Arabidopsis thaliana: one gene and its partners. The protein of the gene in region 1 interacts with the protein of each later gene in a pairwise test. Each region holds a gene or a part of one and is shown in the gene's direction. Other genes may lie near its edges. The genes, in order: AUX1, AGP27, TIR1 and AXR4.

What was found.
Region 2: the proteins of AUX1 (region 1) and AGP27 interact in a protein complementation assay, tested with the Arabidopsis thaliana proteins (2 studies listed by BioGRID).
Region 3: the proteins of AUX1 (region 1) and TIR1 interact in a two-hybrid assay, tested with the Arabidopsis thaliana proteins (one study listed by BioGRID).
Region 4: the proteins of AUX1 (region 1) and AXR4 interact in binary tests that used the Arabidopsis thaliana proteins (3 or more experiments, as listed by UniProt).

Annotation. Positions count from the first base shown.
Region 1 is NC_003071.7:15,971,223-15,977,728, forward strand, and holds AUX1 (Transmembrane amino acid transporter family protein), read left to right. Parts: upstream 1-1,653; 5' UTR 1,654-2,042; intron 2,043-2,253; 5' UTR 2,254-2,270; coding exon 2,271-2,447; intron 2,448-2,540; coding exon 2,541-2,726; intron 2,727-2,814; coding exon 2,815-2,927; intron 2,928-3,023; coding exon 3,024-3,207; intron 3,208-3,485; coding exon 3,486-3,583; intron 3,584-4,104; coding exon 4,105-4,312; intron 4,313-4,398; coding exon 4,399-4,656; intron 4,657-4,744; coding exon of another isoform or gene 4,745-4,750; exon of another isoform or gene 4,751-5,336; coding exon 5,337-5,570; 3' UTR 5,571-5,958; downstream 5,959-6,506. UniProt on the Arabidopsis thaliana protein: Carrier protein involved in proton-driven auxin influx.
Region 2 is NC_003074.8:1,927,026-1,930,237, forward strand, and holds AGP27 (arabinogalactan protein 27), read left to right. Parts: upstream 1-1,842; 5' UTR 1,843-1,950; coding exon 1,951-2,328; 3' UTR 2,329-2,659; downstream 2,660-3,212. Other genes in the region: MEE32 (dehydroquinate dehydratase, putative / shikimate dehydrogenase), read right to left, coding at 1-198, 455-676. UniProt on the Arabidopsis thaliana protein: Proteoglycan that seems to be implicated in diverse developmental roles such as differentiation, cell-cell recognition, embryogenesis and programmed cell death.
Region 3 is NC_003074.8:23,272,545-23,278,510, reverse strand, and holds TIR1 (F-box/RNI-like superfamily protein), read left to right. Parts: upstream 1-1,880; 5' UTR 1,881-2,329; coding exon 2,330-2,796; intron 2,797-3,529; coding exon 3,530-4,022; intron 4,023-4,207; coding exon 4,208-5,032; 3' UTR 5,033-5,446; downstream 5,447-5,966. Other genes in the region: AT3G62970 (zinc finger (C3HC4-type RING finger) family protein), read right to left, coding at 5,813-5,950. UniProt on the Arabidopsis thaliana protein: Auxin receptor that mediates Aux/IAA proteins proteasomal degradation and auxin-regulated transcription.
Region 4 is NC_003070.9:20,509,841-20,514,231, forward strand, and holds AXR4 (alpha/beta-Hydrolases superfamily protein), read left to right. Parts: upstream 1-1,678; 5' UTR 1,679-1,724; coding exon 1,725-2,924; intron 2,925-3,427; coding exon 3,428-3,649; 3' UTR 3,650-3,841; downstream 3,842-4,391. UniProt on the Arabidopsis thaliana protein: Required for the auxin influx facilitator AUX1 polar trafficking and its asymmetric localization within the plasma membrane. Not involved in the PIN proteins localization.

The DNA of each region.
Region 1 (6,506 bases):
GATAACGTATCCAACATTTAAGTATTGTCGAGCCATATAATTAGAGAAAATGACTAGTGAGAACACTGAGAGGTTTAGCAGCTGAGCAAGCAAGTTACTTACAAAACTTGGAAACAAAGGTTGTCACACTAATATTCACACTACGTGAGAATTCGTACAGTGCACATCAATATAATATTTTTAAAACAGCAAAGTGAAAAATGAACATGATACTATATATATCCAATTTATTAACAAAATTTTATAACTTATAGTATCAAAAATAGTAAGACTCATATTAGACCAATATATATTAATGCCTACCTACCTTTGACCTTAGGAGAAAGTATGAATAATTAACATGTATCCAGGAATGGCATTGTAGAAAATACTATTTTACATTACTATTTCATCTAAGGATTGAGATTTCATATGAATTCAATGATTTATATTTACTGCCAATATTTTTTTATCTTACTAATTTAAACGAAAGAGATATTTTAACTTGAAATAATTAGAAAATAGGTTATAGATCATTCAAACATAAAATTATTAAACTGTTCAACTATTTCTAAATGATTTATGTTAGCCGTCAGATAATTAACATGGAAAATTCTAGTTTCATCATGATAATACTCCAACTATATGTGTTAATATGCGTATAAGAGAGAGTATGGCGTAGTATCCAATCATTTCTTAGTATCATGTAGTATTTGGTATATGCCGTATAGTAGTACCCAATTATTTCTTTGATGGGCAAATGCTAATGACTAATGAGTATTTTGCAAACTCATGATCACTGAAAACATGAGCCTTCGGTCGACGATCAGGTGTCTTAAATTTGTCTGCTCTTTAATTTTTGTAGGATAAAAAATTGAAAAATTTGAACTTTAGACCATAGAATAGATTATTCCAGCTAGTAATCTAGAATAAGAATGATGTGAAAAACTTGTATTTAGTGGTTGATCATATAACCAAACCAAAGGATGATTACGTTTTCCTTAAACTCTAAAAACATGCAGATTATTGATCTGTCCATCCTAGTTTTAGGTACGGTATTAAATTTAGATAGCTGTTGAAAAAAAACAAAAGTGAAGATATCTAAATCTAGATATGTTGGAGCAAATCCAGTAGTGGATTCTAAGCAAAGTTTCTAACCTATAATAATAATAATAAAATAATAAATAATATTATTTAATTAAGATAGTTTATAAGGAAATGTGAGAGAGTTTCTAATTCAAGAGATTTTGAAGACTCTTCTAACTATTTTTAGAAACTTTTCAAATTAAATAATATTATTTCTTATTTTATTATTATTTTAGTAGATTAGAAACTATGGTTAGAAACCACCATTGAGTATGCTCTTAATTTATATCCTATAACAAGTCAATAAATCGTCAAACATTAATACGTTGCATTATTTGTTTGTCATCATATCTTAAATATTTCGAATTAAATGATACGTTTTCGTCACACAACTAATGCTTTTTAGTAGATGAAATATAGTAAAATACGATTTTATGTATTTTGAACCCATGTGGCGTTATGTTTTAATTTATTATTGGATAGTAGAAGAAGCCGGAAATTCTGGATGTCAAATAGTCACATTAATATTCAATGCGAAAACGTAAAAAAAAGTAAGATGCTACCGTTACCTAAACAAAAGTTAATGGTGTGATTTTACAGCACCTGTTTAATATTTTTAAAATTACATAAAAAAACCAAAGAGAAGTAAGAAAAAATGAAAAAGAGAGATTGGTATATAAAAAGGAGGAGTAGGGGGTGAAGCCCGAAGCATCTTATAGTATTTTTAGCTTCATTCCTTCTTTTGCTCTGATCAAAGTCTTCTCCTTCCCTTCTCTCTCTCTTTCCTCCTCTGCACATTTCTGGGTTCTTCTCTTCTTATGCTCTGTTTCTTTTAAGACACAGAAGAAACAGTACAGAGTTGAGATTTTCTTAAACAAAAGTGAAAAGAGAAGAAACAAGTGACAGCTCAAACGGACAAAAACCACTCTTGGGTCTTTCTTGCTTCTGATTCTTTCTCTTCTCTAATAGAAGAAAACGTAAGTCACTCTCTCTACTCTCTTTTTTCACACTGAAGAAGAGAAAAAACGTGAACAAAGAACTGTCAATTCTCTTTCCCTCTCTGTTTTATCTTCTTGAATTCTCCAAGATTGAGATCTCTCTCAGTCTCTTATGTGCTCTGTTTTCTCCTCTCTGTTTTCACTTAGTTACTAAACACAATCGATTCTTTCGCTCTGTTTTATTTCTCAGATCTAGAAGCTAAAAAAATGTCGGAAGGAGTAGAAGCGATAGTAGCAAATGACAACGGAACAGATCAGGTAAACGGAAACCGTACCGGGAAAGATAACGAAGAACACGACGGCTCCACCGGTTCTAACCTAAGCAATTTCCTATGGCACGGTGGCTCTGTCTGGGACGCTTGGTTCAGCTGCGCATCTAACCAAGTAAACCAATAAAACCATAAACTAAAGATTCAAAATTTCGGATTTCTCATAGTGAAGAAAGATCTGATTTGTAGTAATTATCGTTGGTTTCAGGTGGCTCAAGTGTTATTGACATTACCGTACTCGTTTAGTCAACTAGGAATGTTATCAGGAATAGTACTTCAGATCTTCTATGGTTTACTAGGAAGCTGGACTGCTTATCTCATCTCTGTTCTCTACGTCGAATACAGAGCTCGTAAAGAAAAAGAAGGCAAAAGCTTCAAAAACCACGTCATTCAGGTCCCCTCTTTAAACCCTCTCTCTCTAATCAGAATCACTAAATCATAATTATCTTTCACTAATCTAACACTTTTAAAAATCTCAACAGTGGTTTGAAGTACTTGATGGATTACTTGGTTCATACTGGAAAGCACTAGGACTCGCATTTAATTGCACTTTCCTCTTGTTTGGATCTGTTATCCAACTCATTGCTTGTGCCAGGTCTGTTATCTTTTAATCATTCTCTTTATCTTTTTAATCACTCTTTAATGATTAAGAATGGAGGATAATTGAAATATGATTGGTGTTTACTTGCAGTAACATTTATTACATAAACGATCATCTGGACAAGAGAACATGGACTTACATATTTGGCGCGTGTTGTGCAACCACTGTCTTTATACCGTCGTTTCACAATTACCGAATTTGGTCATTCCTTGGCCTTGGAATGACCACTTACACCGCTTGGTACTTAGCCATTGCCTCCATCATCCACGGCCAGGTAATGTTTTAATATATTTCACCAAAAATATATTTCATCACATTATAAAGATCACTACACTGTCGTTTTCATATTTATATGCTTTGCATTGAGGTGACAGTATATGCCTTAATTAAAAAGAAGAATAAAAAAAATTCGTATTTTCTCTTTAAGATCAGGGATTATTCTTTGCATCTTAACCCAAATTTGTATTAAAAAGTGTATGTATAATATAACTTAGACAAAATTAGCTGTTTAATATTCTCCTAATCAAATTTTTTTTTTGTTGTTTATTTTAGGCGGAAGGTGTGAAACATTCAGGTCCAACAAAGCTAGTGCTTTATTTTACGGGAGCCACAAATATTTTGTACACCTTTGGAGGTCACGCGGTTACTGTGTAAGTTACTCTTCTTTTGATTTCTTAATGATTATTAATTTTGTATCTAATAAAAGATCAATAAATTTTGTCAGACATAGTTGAATTACTATTTAAGTTAAAGCTAAATGGCAGAAAAAGTATATGGTAAATTAAAATGGTGCCATATTATTAAATTATGGGTGCTGCTGTATCGTTTCTTCGCCGCTTCTATTGCAGCTTTTGCCGGCAAATAAGGTGTAACTATTATTACAGTCATCATGATTGTCATTATTATTTTTAGCAATCCTTAAAATAGTAGTACTAATAAAATAAGCTCTTTTTAAATATAAAATAGAATAACCATTATTATTCCTATCCCTATAAAGAATAACAAACACTATTGCTACCAAAGCACTACTACTACTAGTAGGAATAGTACGCTTTTGCGAAATGTCAAATACACCCTTTTTATGCGTCAATGATTGTTGTGAATCCAATCTTTTACATAGTTAAAGTTTTGGATGAAATTATGAATATTAACAGTAATTTCTAATTTGCAGTGAGATTATGCATGCTATGTGGAAACCACAGAAGTTTAAGTACATTTACTTGATGGCGACGTTATACGTGTTCACGCTAACGATTCCGTCAGCTGCCGCCGTTTACTGGGCTTTCGGAGACGCACTTCTCGACCACTCCAACGCTTTCTCTCTTATGCCCAAGAACGCGTGGCGTGACGCCGCTGTTATCCTCATGCTCATTCATCAGGTATACACATACAACATTTTTGTTCTTTCTTTTTTAAGTAAATTTTGATCATGAGAGATTAATGCAACGTGTTCTTGTTCGTGCAGTTTATAACGTTCGGGTTCGCTTGTACACCTTTGTACTTTGTGTGGGAGAAAGTGATTGGGATGCATGACACAAAGAGCATTTGCTTAAGGGCTTTGGCTAGATTGCCTGTGGTCATACCTATTTGGTTCTTAGCTATTATCTTCCCCTTTTTCGGTCCAATCAATTCCGCTGTCGGTGCTCTTCTTGTTAGCTTCACCGTCTATATCATCCCATCTCTCGCTCACATGCTCACTTACCGATCTGCCTCCGCTCGTCAGGTATAACATCTTTACTAGCTCACTCTCTTTTAGCGTTTCAAAACTCGAACTTAACCTAAAATACATTGAGTTACCAATAATTTTTTAGAAATGAAATGAAGAGTCGGTGGAGGAATATTATAGTTGGGGGGTAGGGTTGTGAAATTGGAGGGCAAAAACGTCTTTTGTGGAAGATAGATGGGGTTCAGTGTTCCGTATCTTACGGAAGATAGGATCATCACCCACATTCCTTACTGGCGTCCCCTCCAAATAATATATTATTGAGTTGGTTTCAGCCATTTCTTTATTTGGTTACATTTAGAAGAAAAAATACAATATCCGGTTAGGTTAGTATTAGTAATTGACCATGACTTCTTTTTCTTTCTCTCTTTCAAAACAGTGTATATTAAATTTACGTAAGATAAAAGTAGAGGAAAATAGGGGAGAGGAATAGGTAAGAGTCATAATCAGAAATGAAAAGGAGCTGTACAATAGGGACTCTATGCCTAACATTAATCTAAAGTGAGAGTCTGAGTATGACAAATCACAATCATATCTCTCTCTCTCTCTCTCTATCTCATGGGTCAACAAAGCTTTGGATTTTGTCCATTACTATACGACCAAAACTCTAAAACACTTACACACTCTCTATTTCTTTAATGGTTCTCTGATTATTTTTGTGTTTTGGATCTTTCTTGTAGAATGCGGCGGAGAAGCCACCGTTCTTTATGCCGAGCTGGACGGCGATGTACGTGTTGAATGCTTTCGTGGTGGTTTGGGTTCTTATAGTCGGATTTGGGTTCGGTGGATGGGCTAGTGTAACCAACTTTGTTCGTCAAGTCGACACTTTTGGTCTCTTTGCCAAGTGTTACCAATGTAAACCAGCTGCAGCCGCCGCACATGCCCCGGTCTCCGCTTTACACCACCGTCTTTGAGAGATCGAGTCAGGGTTCTTCTAATGCGTTTGTGGAGGGTTCTTAAAATTATTTGTTCTTCTTTTGTGTTTTGTGTTCGTATACGTGAAGGGAGTAAAAGTCACGAAAATAGTGTACTTTTTACACACCCCTTTAAATGCGTGCTAAGCTCTTAATTATTTTTTTCTCTTTTGGGGTTTTGTATTTTTGTTTTCACTCCTTAGTTTTTTTTTTAAAATTGAATAGTCGATAATATGTAGTGTGTGATTTCTTAATTTGGTATTGTTAAAACAATAGGCTAAGAAAATGTATCGTCTTCTCTCCTTTTACTTGTCTTTAGTAACAAAAAACAATTCTTATCTTATACATTTATCCTAATTAGACTTATATAAACTATTTTACCATGAACAATATCTTCCGATACTAGATAATTCTTTAGGATCCTATTAGATCTTTTAATTATACAGTTTTGATCATAGCACAGCGACAATACTACTAAGTTTACATTAAAATTTTGAAATAACACTTTAATTTATTTGGAAAATTTGATTTAACGGCAGGGTGTGTTTAAAAATTAAATAGGGGAACATGGACAAGTTGGACCGACGGAGCCGGTCATATATCCTATGGGCCACATGGGTGTGGGGAGAGGACGCACGTGGATACTTCGTCCGAGTCACGTGCCATTATTTACTTGACACTCTTCATCTTCTCTCTGATCAAAAGAATGGATCAGAGGACCGTTCCTGTCCCTCATATTAAATATGGCATGTGTTCGTTCCATTCGTACTCAATCGTTTACCCCTTATCATATGCTCTGCTTTCACATGTACTTTGCCCCCAAAGATTATAACTATATATGTAAAATTATTAACTAATATTCTCGTTTGAATCCAGAGTCCGATTCTTGTACTTTCCATCTGACTTTTTTTTTGTTGGGGGTCAAAATAAAAAAGA
Region 2 (3,212 bases), on another chromosome or scaffold:
TTTTAGATCCTCAAGAGGATTGAAGTCCTTTAGCCAATCTAATCGAATTTCAACCAAGTCTGCACCCAATTCATGGGCTTTACTCGTTTCAATCACCATCTTGTCTATTGAATCCGCCATCACTGGAGCACAGATCAAGCTCGGATTCTTCACGATATCATGACTTCCGATCTCCATTTCCGTGGAATTTGAAGCCACCTGAGATCACAAAACAGGATAAATTCCACAATCAATTAAAAATCCAACTACTTCTCAGAACTAAACAAAAATTCTGAAGATCGATTCTAAATAGCTAAACCAATGTTGTACACGAAACATCAAAGTCTTCATCCAAAACTAATACCAAATTTATTTGAAGCGATAAATCTGCAAATTCATCATTACCTATCCTTCTCCAATAAAAACGGAACAGAAAACAACAAAAGAAAACTGAACTAAAGGAAGAATCACTAACATAGACATTGCTAGGTTCCATGCTTCGCCGGCGCCTTTGATCGGAAAATACCACCGGAAACGGTACACTCCTTAGCCGCGGGGACGAAGAATCGGCAAAGAAGCGAGTGGAGAAATCGGCGGCTGGAAAACGGAGATTGGCGACGGAGGTAGGTGAAAGTCGGGGTTTGGAGAGTAGACGAGGAGGGTTGGTGAGACGAGCATTAGTTGAAGAAGCTGCCATTGAGAGGCGACAAACAACAACGACCCTTTGCGGCTTTTTTTCACAACTTTTATTGGATTTCTAAATTTTGGTATTTTTAACGTTTTTATACGCTAAAAAATGGTAGGTGAAGTTTCGATTAGGCGCAAAAAAAAATTATTTATATCTCCTTTTCATTTTCTGATATTGACAATTATATATGTTTGTTTAAATCATCAAGAGAAAATTCGTTATCTGTAATCTGAAGTTAAGAATTATAGCAGAACAAATGACATCAACAATATGTGATTTTGTTCACACAAAAAAGAAAGTCAAACAAATAGAGGTCAGCAAGTTCTTGAGTCTTTAACTACACTGGTGGCCATTGTTGGGCATGCAATGTAGAAAACTCAGCACGTTTTGCACTACAATAGTGGGCTGCGTTTTTTGGGCCCATAGGAAGCCTCTTTAGTGGGCTCGAATTGCATAGCAAACTAAAGAACAATAAATAATAAATAATAATAATAATTCCCACACACCACAAAGCTTTTCTTAACTCGCCAATAAACTTTAGTACAAAAGACAACAAAATATTTGTTTAGGAACAACCCAATATAAAATGTGCTTTTTATTTGAACATCCAACGAGGCAACAACAAACGTAATTAGACCATCTCCATTGAAGGTATTTCATAAGAGTTTTTCACAATTAAAAAAATAAAAATAATGAAAATGAAGGAGAGAAAATGTAGAAAGTTTCTCACTTGAAAAATTTTGAGATATTCTCTACAACCCATCATGACAATTCTCATCTCACTATTGATTCAATTTTTTAACAAAATTACTTTTTTAATCAAATAATTAAATTATAATATAATATTAATATTTTTTTTGTTTTAGAAACTTTGTAGGTTTCTCATGGATGGAGATGCCTTTACTCGTACTTAGCAATATGTATAATTTGCATTAACATAATATTTTTCAGCAAAAAGTAAAGCACATGTTTATTCGAAAATATGTGCAATATATAAGAGCTTCTACTAAAAAGTGAAAACTCGATCTACGCCCATCTTCAAGAATTCAGCAAATATATTTTCTTTTCCACCGAACACATCCTTTAAATTGATAAATAATAATCTTTTTGGAAAAAGGTGAGACAAATTCCATTTAAAATCAATTTATAATATTTTACTATTAGAGCTAAAAGTTTTCTTTTATAGAGACAGTATCATTATTACAACACAAAATGCGCTCTCATCAGTTAAGGAAAAAAACAACTCAGCTTTGATTTGTTCATCATTACAGTAACCAAAAAAGATGGCTTCATCTATATTGCTAACACTCATCACCTTCATCTTTCTCTCCTCACTTTCTCTCTCTTCGCCGACGACAAATACAATCCCATCTTCGCAAACAATCTCTCCCTCTGAAGAAAAGATCTCACCGGAGATCGCTCCTCTCCTCCCTTCACCCGCCGTCTCCTCCACTCAAACCATCCCTTCTTCTTCAACACTTCCTGAACCAGAAAACGACGACGTTTCCGCAGATCCTGATCCCGCCTTCGCTCCATCGGCTTCTCCTCCGGCTTCATCTCTTGCTTCTCTGTCTTCTCAAGCTCCCGGAGTTTTCATCTACTTTGTCTTCGCCGCCGTCTATTGTTTCTCGCTCCGGCTTCTTGCCGTTTCAGCTATATAGGTCATTCATATATTTTAGACCACGTACGTCATTATTTTCATGAGTTTATTTGTCCCCTAAAAATAACGAATAAAATTAGATTTAGTTTGATTTTCAATTTTTTTTTACTATTTGTATTTTTTATTGTTCTCCACTTAACATTTTGTTACAGTTTTAGATTGGTTTAGATGAAAAACGCAAGTAATATATTACGTCAGAACCACATAATTGATGCATAATTAACTTAAGAACTCTGGATAAAAATAAAAATAAAAACTAATTTACCGTTAAGTGATTCAATACACTTTGAGGACTTATACTTTTCTCTTCTTTTCATTTCATTTGTTCGTTTACTATACACTAACTTTTTTTTTTTTTTTTATCGCTAAGCTAAAGAACCTTTTGAAAAAGTTGAAATTACGTTTCAAATTAAAGTGACGTCATATGCATGCTTTACAGTATACTGCAGTTTATAGTAGTATCAAAATCAAACGTTCCAAAAATTTGTACTGTTTACATGCAAATAACACTTGAGTAATTATATGTAGACTACTAATTAATTTCGACATAAGTTTATGTAAAACACCAGTTTTTTATGATTATTTTTGTCTTAATCTTGAGACGTGTTTATGAACTGAATGAATGTATTACTTTGTGAATTAACGTATTTAAGTATAGTGCATTATTGCATAATTCCTAAAATGCCACAAGGTTAGAGGCGCATGCATGTGAGTTACTGCATATGCTGGCCTCACGGCTAAAAGCAACAACAAAAAAAGGTGCCTTCTTTTCTTGTCCCACACTTTATCTTATTTCTGGGGTTTCAAAGTCTCAATATTAAAATTAATAATATCTAGGTGAGAAGAAATATGTAAAGGACGTTTCTTGTTTTCACATTATAGGGT
Region 3 (5,966 bases), on another chromosome or scaffold:
ATCCAAATTAGCTTTATAAATCACGTGCCACTTTACTTGTACTTGTACACCACCTCTTCATCAATCGCATTATATATATCACTCATCATCTATCTTATATATAAACAGTAGTATTATGTAAATACTATAGTACTATGTTATTCTTTTATATATGTCCGTCCACACATGCGTACACATATTTCTATCTCACATAAACAGTAGTAGTATAATGCAGTCTGTAATATTCTCGGCTTTTAGGTACACAATTTATAATTCATTCAGAGTTGGATCTAATATCGCTGAAGAGATAATTAAAAAAATAATTAGGGAGATAATTAAGGGATAATAGACAGCAAAGAGCAAGCTAGTTTTGAGTACGAAACCCGAGACTAGGAGAAAGAAATAAGAGAGATTCGCGGGGGAGCCATGCGTGGGATTATTATTCTAATCATTTCCTTAAAAAATTCATAATCAATGACCTCTTATTATATCAGTGTAAGTTAATCCCTTTTTCTGACGACATTAAAACTTATAATTTTAAAAAAACTTAAGCGTATTACGTGCAAGACAACTCAGCTCCACACTTCTCCCATCTGACTATACTCAGCCCTCTCTTTGTTTTTTCCTAATTATCTCTTTCTTCGTTACTACCTCAATTTCTGAGCACTTGCTTGCTACATTTTTTTTTTTTAAAATCTTCGTATTTGTATGTATGTCATTATAATTTTTAGATTTTATTTTTGGTTTAAGAACTAATCAACAGTACATTCAAAAAGAAAACTAGAAAGGTGCGATATTTTAAATAGTAGTTTAAGTGGATAAACGGTCAGGATGGTATGTAATACGAAGATGATATAGAACAGTTTGATAATGTGACAAGTTTTTTTAGTTAGGGCAGGACAGACCTATCAACTCCATGCTCAGACTCTGCAAAGCCCATCATACACTGTTTCGAGAAGAAGGGCATTCTCGTCAATTCAATACCCATTTATTTTCCTCTAAGCCGTTGTACTTGCGACAGAGCCCGAAATAATTGTAGTTTTTATACGTTTATTACACCCAGACGAGGTAAATTAATTAAGAAGTAATTATTAATTTTAAAAGTCACGATTGTGTATGTATGTATGTCCGTACACTGTTAAAAAGGGGTCCCAGATCTGACGGTCGTGATTAAAATGCGACGCTGCACTTTCTTTCTTTCTTTCTTCTCTACTTTATTCAAATTTTTCAGTATCCATTCTTTCTCTCTCTTTTTTTCTTTCTCTACTCATAAAAGTTGTTCACTTTAAATTATTGGATACTTCCCTCACATTTACTCTTTTTTGTGCAATCCTTTCAATTTTAATTTAAATTATTCAGCAATCTTCAAAAACATACAAATAATGTTTTAATCCAATCTCACACGAAAACACTGATTCTTGTTATGTTAATTCATCATTCAACTCTATTTACTTCACTTTAATGCTATGAGAAAGGATACACTTTAGTTAATCAAATTTATCAATACTATATATTACTAGAAAATAGAAAATGAAACTGTGATTAGTCTTGATGGTTTATTTATGAATCCAAGTGGTGGGTAAATAAATGAACATGCAAAACTAATAATAGGAGGAGATAGATGCTCAGATTCCACATCAAAACATGATTGGACGGTTGTGATGTCATCATAAATAACAGTAATAGCTTCTTTTTTTATTGTTTTGTTACCGTCAGATCATTAGTAGTCTAGTATTTTTTTTAACATTCTGTTGTGGTCCCCGCAATTTACGGGGCTTCCCCTCATATCCAGCCGTGCATCGCGTATCATTAGATTCCCTCTTCTCCTACACCTTACCACACCCTATCATTGATCTCCTTCTCGCGCTATTTTGATAGAAGCCGCGATAAGCCGACCCCCCCTCTCCAATATCTCGTCCCGTTTTCTGCGGCTGCCCTTCTCTGCACAGTCGATAAGATAATCTCCCGCTTTCATTCAATCGGACGGCTGGTATTTGAAGCTTATAAGACACGTGTCATCATCAGAATCGACAATCACAATCACCGAAAAGGCTCACATGGATATGTTTGACCACGGTTAACTTTTAACCCAACCATGGTTGGCTTTTTTAACTTGACCTCCTTCTCCTTCCCCCTATCCTTTTCTCTTCTCTTCCCACTCTCTCTCTCTCTCTATCTATCTTCTTCATCTTTGTTTCAGCTTCTCCTTTGAAACTAGATTATCTCCGTTAATGGCGCCTCAGATCTAACCTTGGGAGTTATATATATATACTTGTTCAACTCTTCTTCGAACGCTGTCCAACTTCTTCCTCTGGTTCGATCATCGAGATCTCGAGGTTATTTGGCCGCAATGCAGAAGCGAATAGCCTTGTCGTTTCCAGAAGAGGTACTAGAGCATGTGTTCTCGTTTATTCAGCTGGATAAGGATAGGAACTCAGTCTCTCTGGTGTGCAAGTCATGGTACGAGATCGAGCGGTGGTGCAGGAGGAAAGTCTTCATCGGGAACTGCTACGCCGTGAGTCCAGCGACGGTGATTAGGAGGTTCCCGAAAGTGAGATCCGTGGAGCTTAAAGGAAAACCTCACTTTGCTGACTTTAATTTGGTACCTGACGGATGGGGAGGTTACGTGTATCCATGGATTGAGGCCATGTCTTCGTCTTACACGTGGCTTGAAGAGATAAGGCTGAAGAGGATGGTGGTCACCGACGATTGCTTGGAGCTCATAGCCAAGTCTTTTAAGAATTTTAAGGTTCTTGTGCTTTCTTCCTGCGAAGGCTTCTCCACCGATGGTCTCGCTGCTATCGCTGCCACTTGCAGGTATTCTTTTTCTGAATGTTTTTTGTTTCATCAAGAAGACTCCCTTGTGTCTCTAGGAAGAAGCTTTTGTTTGTATTAAACTTATTGGTGTGTGATTTGTATATTCATTATACTACATAAAGTCTCAATTATAGCAAATTCATGTACTTGTTATTTGATCTGGGCATATAGGTTTTGCTGCGTTGTTCCTGCTGATGTTACTCTGGTCTTTGTGAGCTTTTTTTTGGTTTGGTCAAGATTTTGCGTATCTAAAAGATATATGTTTTAATCACGTTTCTGAAGATTCTTATTATAGCCACTCTCTTTTTCTTTCTGGTGGGTCTTATTTAACGGTGGTGTATCTATTTATTCCTGGATTATTCGCTCTCAGTGAATCTCCTGAGGTGGGAAATCTAATCAATTTGGCTTTGTGTGTGTTACTTTTCTTTTTGTAGGGGACTTTCAATTTTCTTTTTTTACCTTGTTGGGAAACTTAGATCTGTTTTCGGATTCCCCTTCTTTACTCGCTTTAGCTCTGTTTTAGCATCTCTCACATTGCTTCCACGTGATAAATTTAGTAATTTGTTATTGTTCTATGCTTAGATAGTTTCCCAAAGTGATCTTTCTACATTGTATCAAATACAACTTTGGACAAATTAATGACAATTATGCTCATGTATTGTAGGCAATGTTTATGTTCTCGAAGTTGTATAATGTGGGTCACTCGATGCTAATTATGTGATTTCTTATGCAGGAATCTGAAAGAGCTTGACTTACGAGAGAGTGATGTTGACGACGTTAGTGGCCACTGGCTTAGCCATTTCCCAGATACATACACTTCTTTGGTATCACTCAATATATCTTGCTTAGCATCTGAGGTCAGTTTCTCTGCTCTGGAAAGGCTGGTGACTAGGTGTCCCAATCTCAAGTCTCTCAAGCTTAACCGAGCTGTTCCACTTGAAAAATTGGCTACTTTACTTCAAAGAGCACCTCAATTGGAGGAATTGGGCACTGGTGGGTACACTGCAGAAGTGCGACCAGATGTTTACTCTGGTTTATCTGTAGCGCTCTCTGGGTGCAAGGAATTGAGGTGCTTATCTGGATTTTGGGATGCTGTTCCTGCCTATCTTCCAGCAGTTTATTCGGTTTGCAGTCGGCTTACAACTTTGAATCTGAGTTATGCAACAGTCCAGAGCTATGATCTTGTCAAGCTTCTTTGTCAATGCCCTAAACTGCAGCGCCTCTGGGTGAGTCCATTTTAACATACATTAACACATGAATTTGGAATAGGTCATTTTACTGTATGGTATGAGAAAGCTTATGTTCATAGTTTTCTTAAAAAATTTGAATGATATAGAGCAATATATCTGAATTATAAGCATTAAAGCCTTTTTCTTTTTGTAACTGTGCTCTAACTTATTATTGACTACAGGTGCTTGACTACATCGAGGATGCTGGTCTTGAGGTGCTTGCTTCAACCTGCAAGGACCTACGCGAGCTGAGAGTGTTTCCGTCCGAGCCTTTTGTCATGGAACCAAATGTGGCATTGACGGAACAGGGGCTTGTCTCCGTCTCCATGGGCTGTCCAAAACTCGAGTCGGTTCTCTACTTCTGCCGTCAAATGACCAATGCTGCATTGATAACCATTGCTAGGAACCGTCCCAACATGACTCGCTTCCGTTTGTGCATCATTGAGCCAAAAGCCCCAGACTATCTGACTCTAGAGCCACTGGATATTGGATTTGGAGCCATAGTAGAGCACTGCAAGGATCTCCGTCGCCTCTCTCTATCTGGCCTCTTGACCGACAAGGTTTTTGAATACATTGGGACATATGCCAAGAAGATGGAAATGCTCTCAGTGGCATTTGCAGGAGACAGTGACTTAGGCATGCATCATGTTTTGTCCGGGTGCGATAGCTTGAGGAAACTAGAGATAAGGGACTGCCCGTTTGGAGACAAGGCGCTTTTGGCCAATGCTTCAAAGCTGGAGACAATGCGATCCCTTTGGATGTCTTCTTGTTCCGTGAGTTTTGGAGCCTGCAAGTTACTAGGACAGAAGATGCCAAAGCTGAATGTGGAAGTCATCGATGAACGGGGTGCACCGGACTCGAGACCAGAGAGCTGCCCTGTTGAGAGAGTCTTCATATACCGAACAGTGGCTGGTCCTCGATTTGACATGCCTGGCTTCGTCTGGAACATGGACCAAGACTCAACAATGAGGTTTTCCAGGCAAATCATTACTACTAACGGATTATAAGACAAAGAAACGAGGTACATTTTTCATTAATCCTTGTTCATCATCCCATATAATCGTGTTCCGGTTTAGGAACATGAGAGAGCTCGGTCGCCAATAATTTGAATCTCGGCTGCTTCATATAACCATCAAGCTCATGAGCAATGAATAAGTGGAGAGAGAGAAAGAGAGATCTAAGAGAGCTTTGTTTTATTTATGTAAGAATTATTGATTGTTGTATGTTTATTTGGCTACTTACACTGAGAGATCCTGGTGGGGTATTTTTCTTAAGAGGATAAGAGATTTTTTTAAAAGACAATGTCAAAAATGTAACTGTTCTACTTGTTTTGTTTGGACTCTTTTATCCTTTTAAATGTTTTCTATCTCTCTCTCTCTTTGTCTTTGCCATTTCCTTTGTCCGCTTAATGAACTGTTTGCAGCCTTTTCGGTTTTGGAACAGCACCTAGTTTCGTCTCAGGTCCCTACACTCTCTTTATCACCATAATTAGAAACAAGAGAATCTTGCTCTGTGTAAAGGTCTTGGAATAGCATCATCGTCAAACGTGTGATAGGACACAATGTAATTGAACTGTTGTTTTTCATATGAAAAACAAGCTTTTTCAAATTTTCAGTTTACATGATGACTAAACACAGTAATACCATTTATATAACAGTACGATATTTTCCGTTTCAAGTGTTTTTAGGCCAAGAACAAAAATAAATAAGCAGAACACAGCCCTATCGCTCTATGGTTGGACCAATGACGGGAAAATTCAATGAAGAAGAGTTGGCTTCAGAAAATGATCACTCTGTTTCACTCACTGGATCTTGTGGCGTTGAGATTCTCCGAGTGTTGTATGAACCGCAATCACTGCACTTGTGTCCCAAAATGTGGAACATAGCTTTACTCCCCTTGTTGCAGTCATTGCAGAGAATTGAAACCTGCAGACATTTTCTT
Region 4 (4,391 bases), on another chromosome or scaffold:
GAATATTTGGATATATTTCACAATGGTTCCGGGAGAGAATGAACAAGGTATTCGAAGCTTTAGTTCTTTGTATATGCTTGAAATTTGAACAACAATCTCATAGGAGTTAATCCAATTTGAATTTGTGAACTTTTTCCTTATATGTACTACTGATTCAAACAACATGGTGGAAGGTGAAATACCTCTTTCGTTGTTCAACAAAATAACATCCCATAATATGGAAGTATAGTGGTGCATGAGCAAATCTTAAAAAGAATTTATATGGTTATGTATATCACCACAATGTCCTTATATTTTCAATTAAACATCTCGAGAGTACTCTAGAATTGAATGTTCTTGAACTCGATTAATTTGAGGATGGGTAACCGAGAATTGATTTCTCGTAGTGTGTACTGTATAAATGAAGATAAAATACGGGAAAATATCACATAATGATTTATAGGATTGGTAACCAAGTCTTTAAAACCCCTGGAAGTAGCGAACTAACCGCTAGACAAAGGATGGGCCAATAGACTAGGGGAGGACATGAGACCTATGGACGGTTGCAATTGGAGAGTCACAAACAAGTCCAGTCATTTGCTAATGGAACTCTCGGGAAGCAACATATTTGGATATCAAATCTCTATATTTCGTAGCATTATTTCTACAAGGCAATAATTTATTAGGGGCTGTTCCAAAGACATTTGTAGCCAATGTTACCATACCTGTTATGAAAATTAACAAGTTGTCAAGTTCATCCACATTCAAAACATAAGTGTTCTTGTTTTATGGGATAATAATTTAACATGTCATATTCCTCACCAGTTGTGTGATCTAAGGAACATCCACCTTTTGGATCTTGCTAACAATGGATTCATAGCATCTTGTCTCAGCAGTATGGTGGGAGGAAAGTGGATGAATCATATTTTCATAATTATGAGATTGGTTACAGTCTTTATGATGTCTTCACTACTTATGATCCTGAACAAAACTCCACTACCATCCGGCCCAAGTGGATAAGGCAGAGGTGCACATGCCTAAAGCTCATCCAAATGTTTAAAAACTCATAGATTAAAAACCCATTTATTTTTGAAAAATATTAAAATAAGGCCCAAAACAAATTAGTATGAATCAGAACCCAAAACATTAGAATATTTGATAAGAAAAAACTCTTAAAAATATTTGTTGCCCCAAGGCTCTTATAGTTATAATTGTTGGGCCGGGGCTGTCCACTGCGACATAAAATATCATCAGTACATAGTTCAAATCCTTGCTTGTGTTAGATCCTGTGGAGTGTGGACTATTTGGCAAGGGCCGTACTGAAATAGAATTTGTCACAAAACCATTTGGATTTTGGAGCAGAGCTTGGTTTTACATCGTTGACCCTTTCATCCACTATCTTCTATTGGTGTCAAACCTTTAATATCCTAGTCTTTTTGTTGTACCCATTTGTTTGTTCATTCATATACCTTGTAATGTGTAGTGAAAACAGAGTTATGGTTTCCATAGGTTTTGGAATTCATTAGTGAAAAACTATACCCCACAATTGGCAAAAGACTAGGAACAAAATCAAAATTTGTTTCTCTGTTTGTGTCATCTTTAAACACGCTCCTTGAATGATGTTTCTCTTGTCCACTTTTGCAGAAAAGTCTGCTCTTTTATTATTACTATTATTATAATGCCTTTTGTCCTAAAAGACATCACCACACTTCTCTCACATTCTCTCAAGTTCCAAGCTTTCTTTAATGGCGATTATCACAGAAGAAGAAGAGGATCCAAAAACCCTAAATCCACCGAAGAACAAACCTAAAGACTCTGACTTTACGAAATCTGAATCAACTATGAAGAACCCTAAACCCCAATCTCAAAACCCTTTCCCATTTTGGTTCTACTTTACAGTAGTCGTCTCACTAGCCACAATCATCTTCATATCTCTCTCTCTGTTCTCTTCTCAAAACGATCCAAGATCTTGGTTTCTCTCACTCCCACCAGCTCTTCGTCAACATTACTCAAATGGACGAACAATCAAAGTCCAAGTAAACTCAAACGAGTCACCAATTGAAGTCTTTGTAGCTGAATCAGGTTCGATTCATACAGAGACTGTTGTAATCGTTCATGGGTTAGGTCTAAGTTCGTTTGCTTTTAAGGAAATGATTCAATCTCTTGGATCAAAAGGGATCCATAGTGTTGCTATTGATTTACCTGGAAATGGGTTCTCTGATAAGTCAATGGTAGTGATTGGTGGAGATAGAGAGATAGGGTTTGTGGCTAGAGTTAAGGAAGTTTATGGTTTGATTCAAGAGAAAGGTGTGTTTTGGGCTTTTGATCAGATGATTGAAACTGGAGATTTGCCTTATGAGGAGATCATAAAGCTTCAGAATTCGAAAAGGAGAAGCTTCAAAGCTATCGAGTTAGGGAGTGAAGAAACTGCTAGAGTTTTAGGTCAAGTGATTGATACTTTGGGTTTAGCTCCTGTGCATTTGGTTCTTCATGATTCAGCTTTAGGGTTAGCTTCGAATTGGGTTTCTGAGAATTGGCAAAGTGTTCGAAGTGTAACTCTTATTGACTCTAGTATTAGTCCAGCTTTGCCGTTGTGGGTTTTGAATGTACCGGGGATTCGAGAGATTTTGTTAGCGTTTTCGTTTGGTTTTGAGAAGCTAGTGAGCTTCCGGTGCTCAAAGGAGATGACTTTATCGGATATTGATGCTCATAGGATACTTTTGAAGGGAAGAAATGGGAGAGAAGCTGTTGTTGCTTCGTTAAACAAGTTAAACCATAGCTTTGACATTGCACAATGGGGTAATTCAGATGGGATTAATGGTATTCCGATGCAAGTGATTTGGTCTAGTGAAGCGTCTAAAGAATGGAGTGACGAGGGGCAACGTGTAGCTAAGGCTCTTCCGAAAGCAAAGTTTGTCACACATTCAGGCAGCCGGTGGCCTCAGGTTAGATATTCTTCGGACTTTTAAGTCATTTTAGTTTTATTGAATTGGTCAAAAGCAGAAGGTTTTGTGTTTATACTAAAATCAAGTATGTATCTCTAGTAATGAGTAAAGTTATAACCAGATCCAATTTCAAAATTTAGAGCATCTTTATCAACTATTTTTGAGATTGTTAGTATCGGATTGTTCTCTTGAACATACTTTGTTCTCCCATTAGTTTGTATTTTACTCGGTAGGAGCAGAGCATCTTTAGCTCTATAGCCTTTATTTTTGGGCTGCTTGACTTGTTTGAAGAACACAAACTTGTGTGGTCTTCTAGTTGTAAAATAGCAAAGGCACATTAATCTGAAACTGTGACGTTTTCAAGTAGGTGTAGAGTTCTTACTGGAACTTGTATCATTGAAGGGTATATATTTGAGTATGTTCAAGATTGGTTTTCGTTGTTTTACTTATCGTGGTTTTTCGGGTTTAATTCCTTAAAACTTGTGGTCGTTTTGATAATGCAGGAAAGCAAATCCGGCGAGCTTGCAGATTACATATCAGAATTTGTCTCTCTCCTCCCTAAATCCATCAGACGGGTTGCTGAAGAACCTATCCCTGAGGAAGTACAGAAAGTGTTAGAAGAAGCAAAGGCTGGTGATGACCATGACCATCATCATGGCCACGGGCATGCCCATGCTGGTTACTCGGATGCTTATGGTCTTGGTGAGGAATGGACTACTACTTGATATGCCTTTTGAAGTTCTTGTTATTATTTTACGATGTACTCTTAATCTTATGACTATTTTGAGATTTTTCTTTTGGGAGTTTAAAGTCTGAGATACTACTTCCAAATATGAATCTGTGTTTTGTACTTTTTGTTTGTAAGTCATCAAATTTCAATAGAAAAATATCTTAAAGTCATCATATTTTTAAATATCTACATATACATTTTTGCAGCCATTTTAACAAATAAATCATAGAGTTGGACTTATTTACAACCCAATGCCATTAATATTAAATCTTTTTCCAAAATAATTAATTTTCCTTTAAATTCTTAATATAAATTGTTAATCACATTATCAATCAAATTTAATCCAAACAAACTTCATATTAATCCCTTAAAATTAGCATAAACGTATTTGTTAATAATATTTTAAAACAATATTTTTTGTTTAAATAAATATTATTCTTACTAAACGTTTTTTGTTTAAATAAACAAATTCTGTATTTAAACTTATTTACAATGTCATGCTACCGTATTAATTATTTAGGAATGAAAATATTTAATTAACGATTTAAATCTTCTAAATCCTTACTTTTAGAGTTATTATTATGTCATTTACCTAAAAGGCAAAAAAAATTATTTTTTAAAAATATTATTATTTATATATTTAAACTTTATAAAACATTATTAATATTTAAACTTATAAAAAGTTTAATATATCAAATAATATAACATCATTATATATTATATAGAGTTTAAAAAAA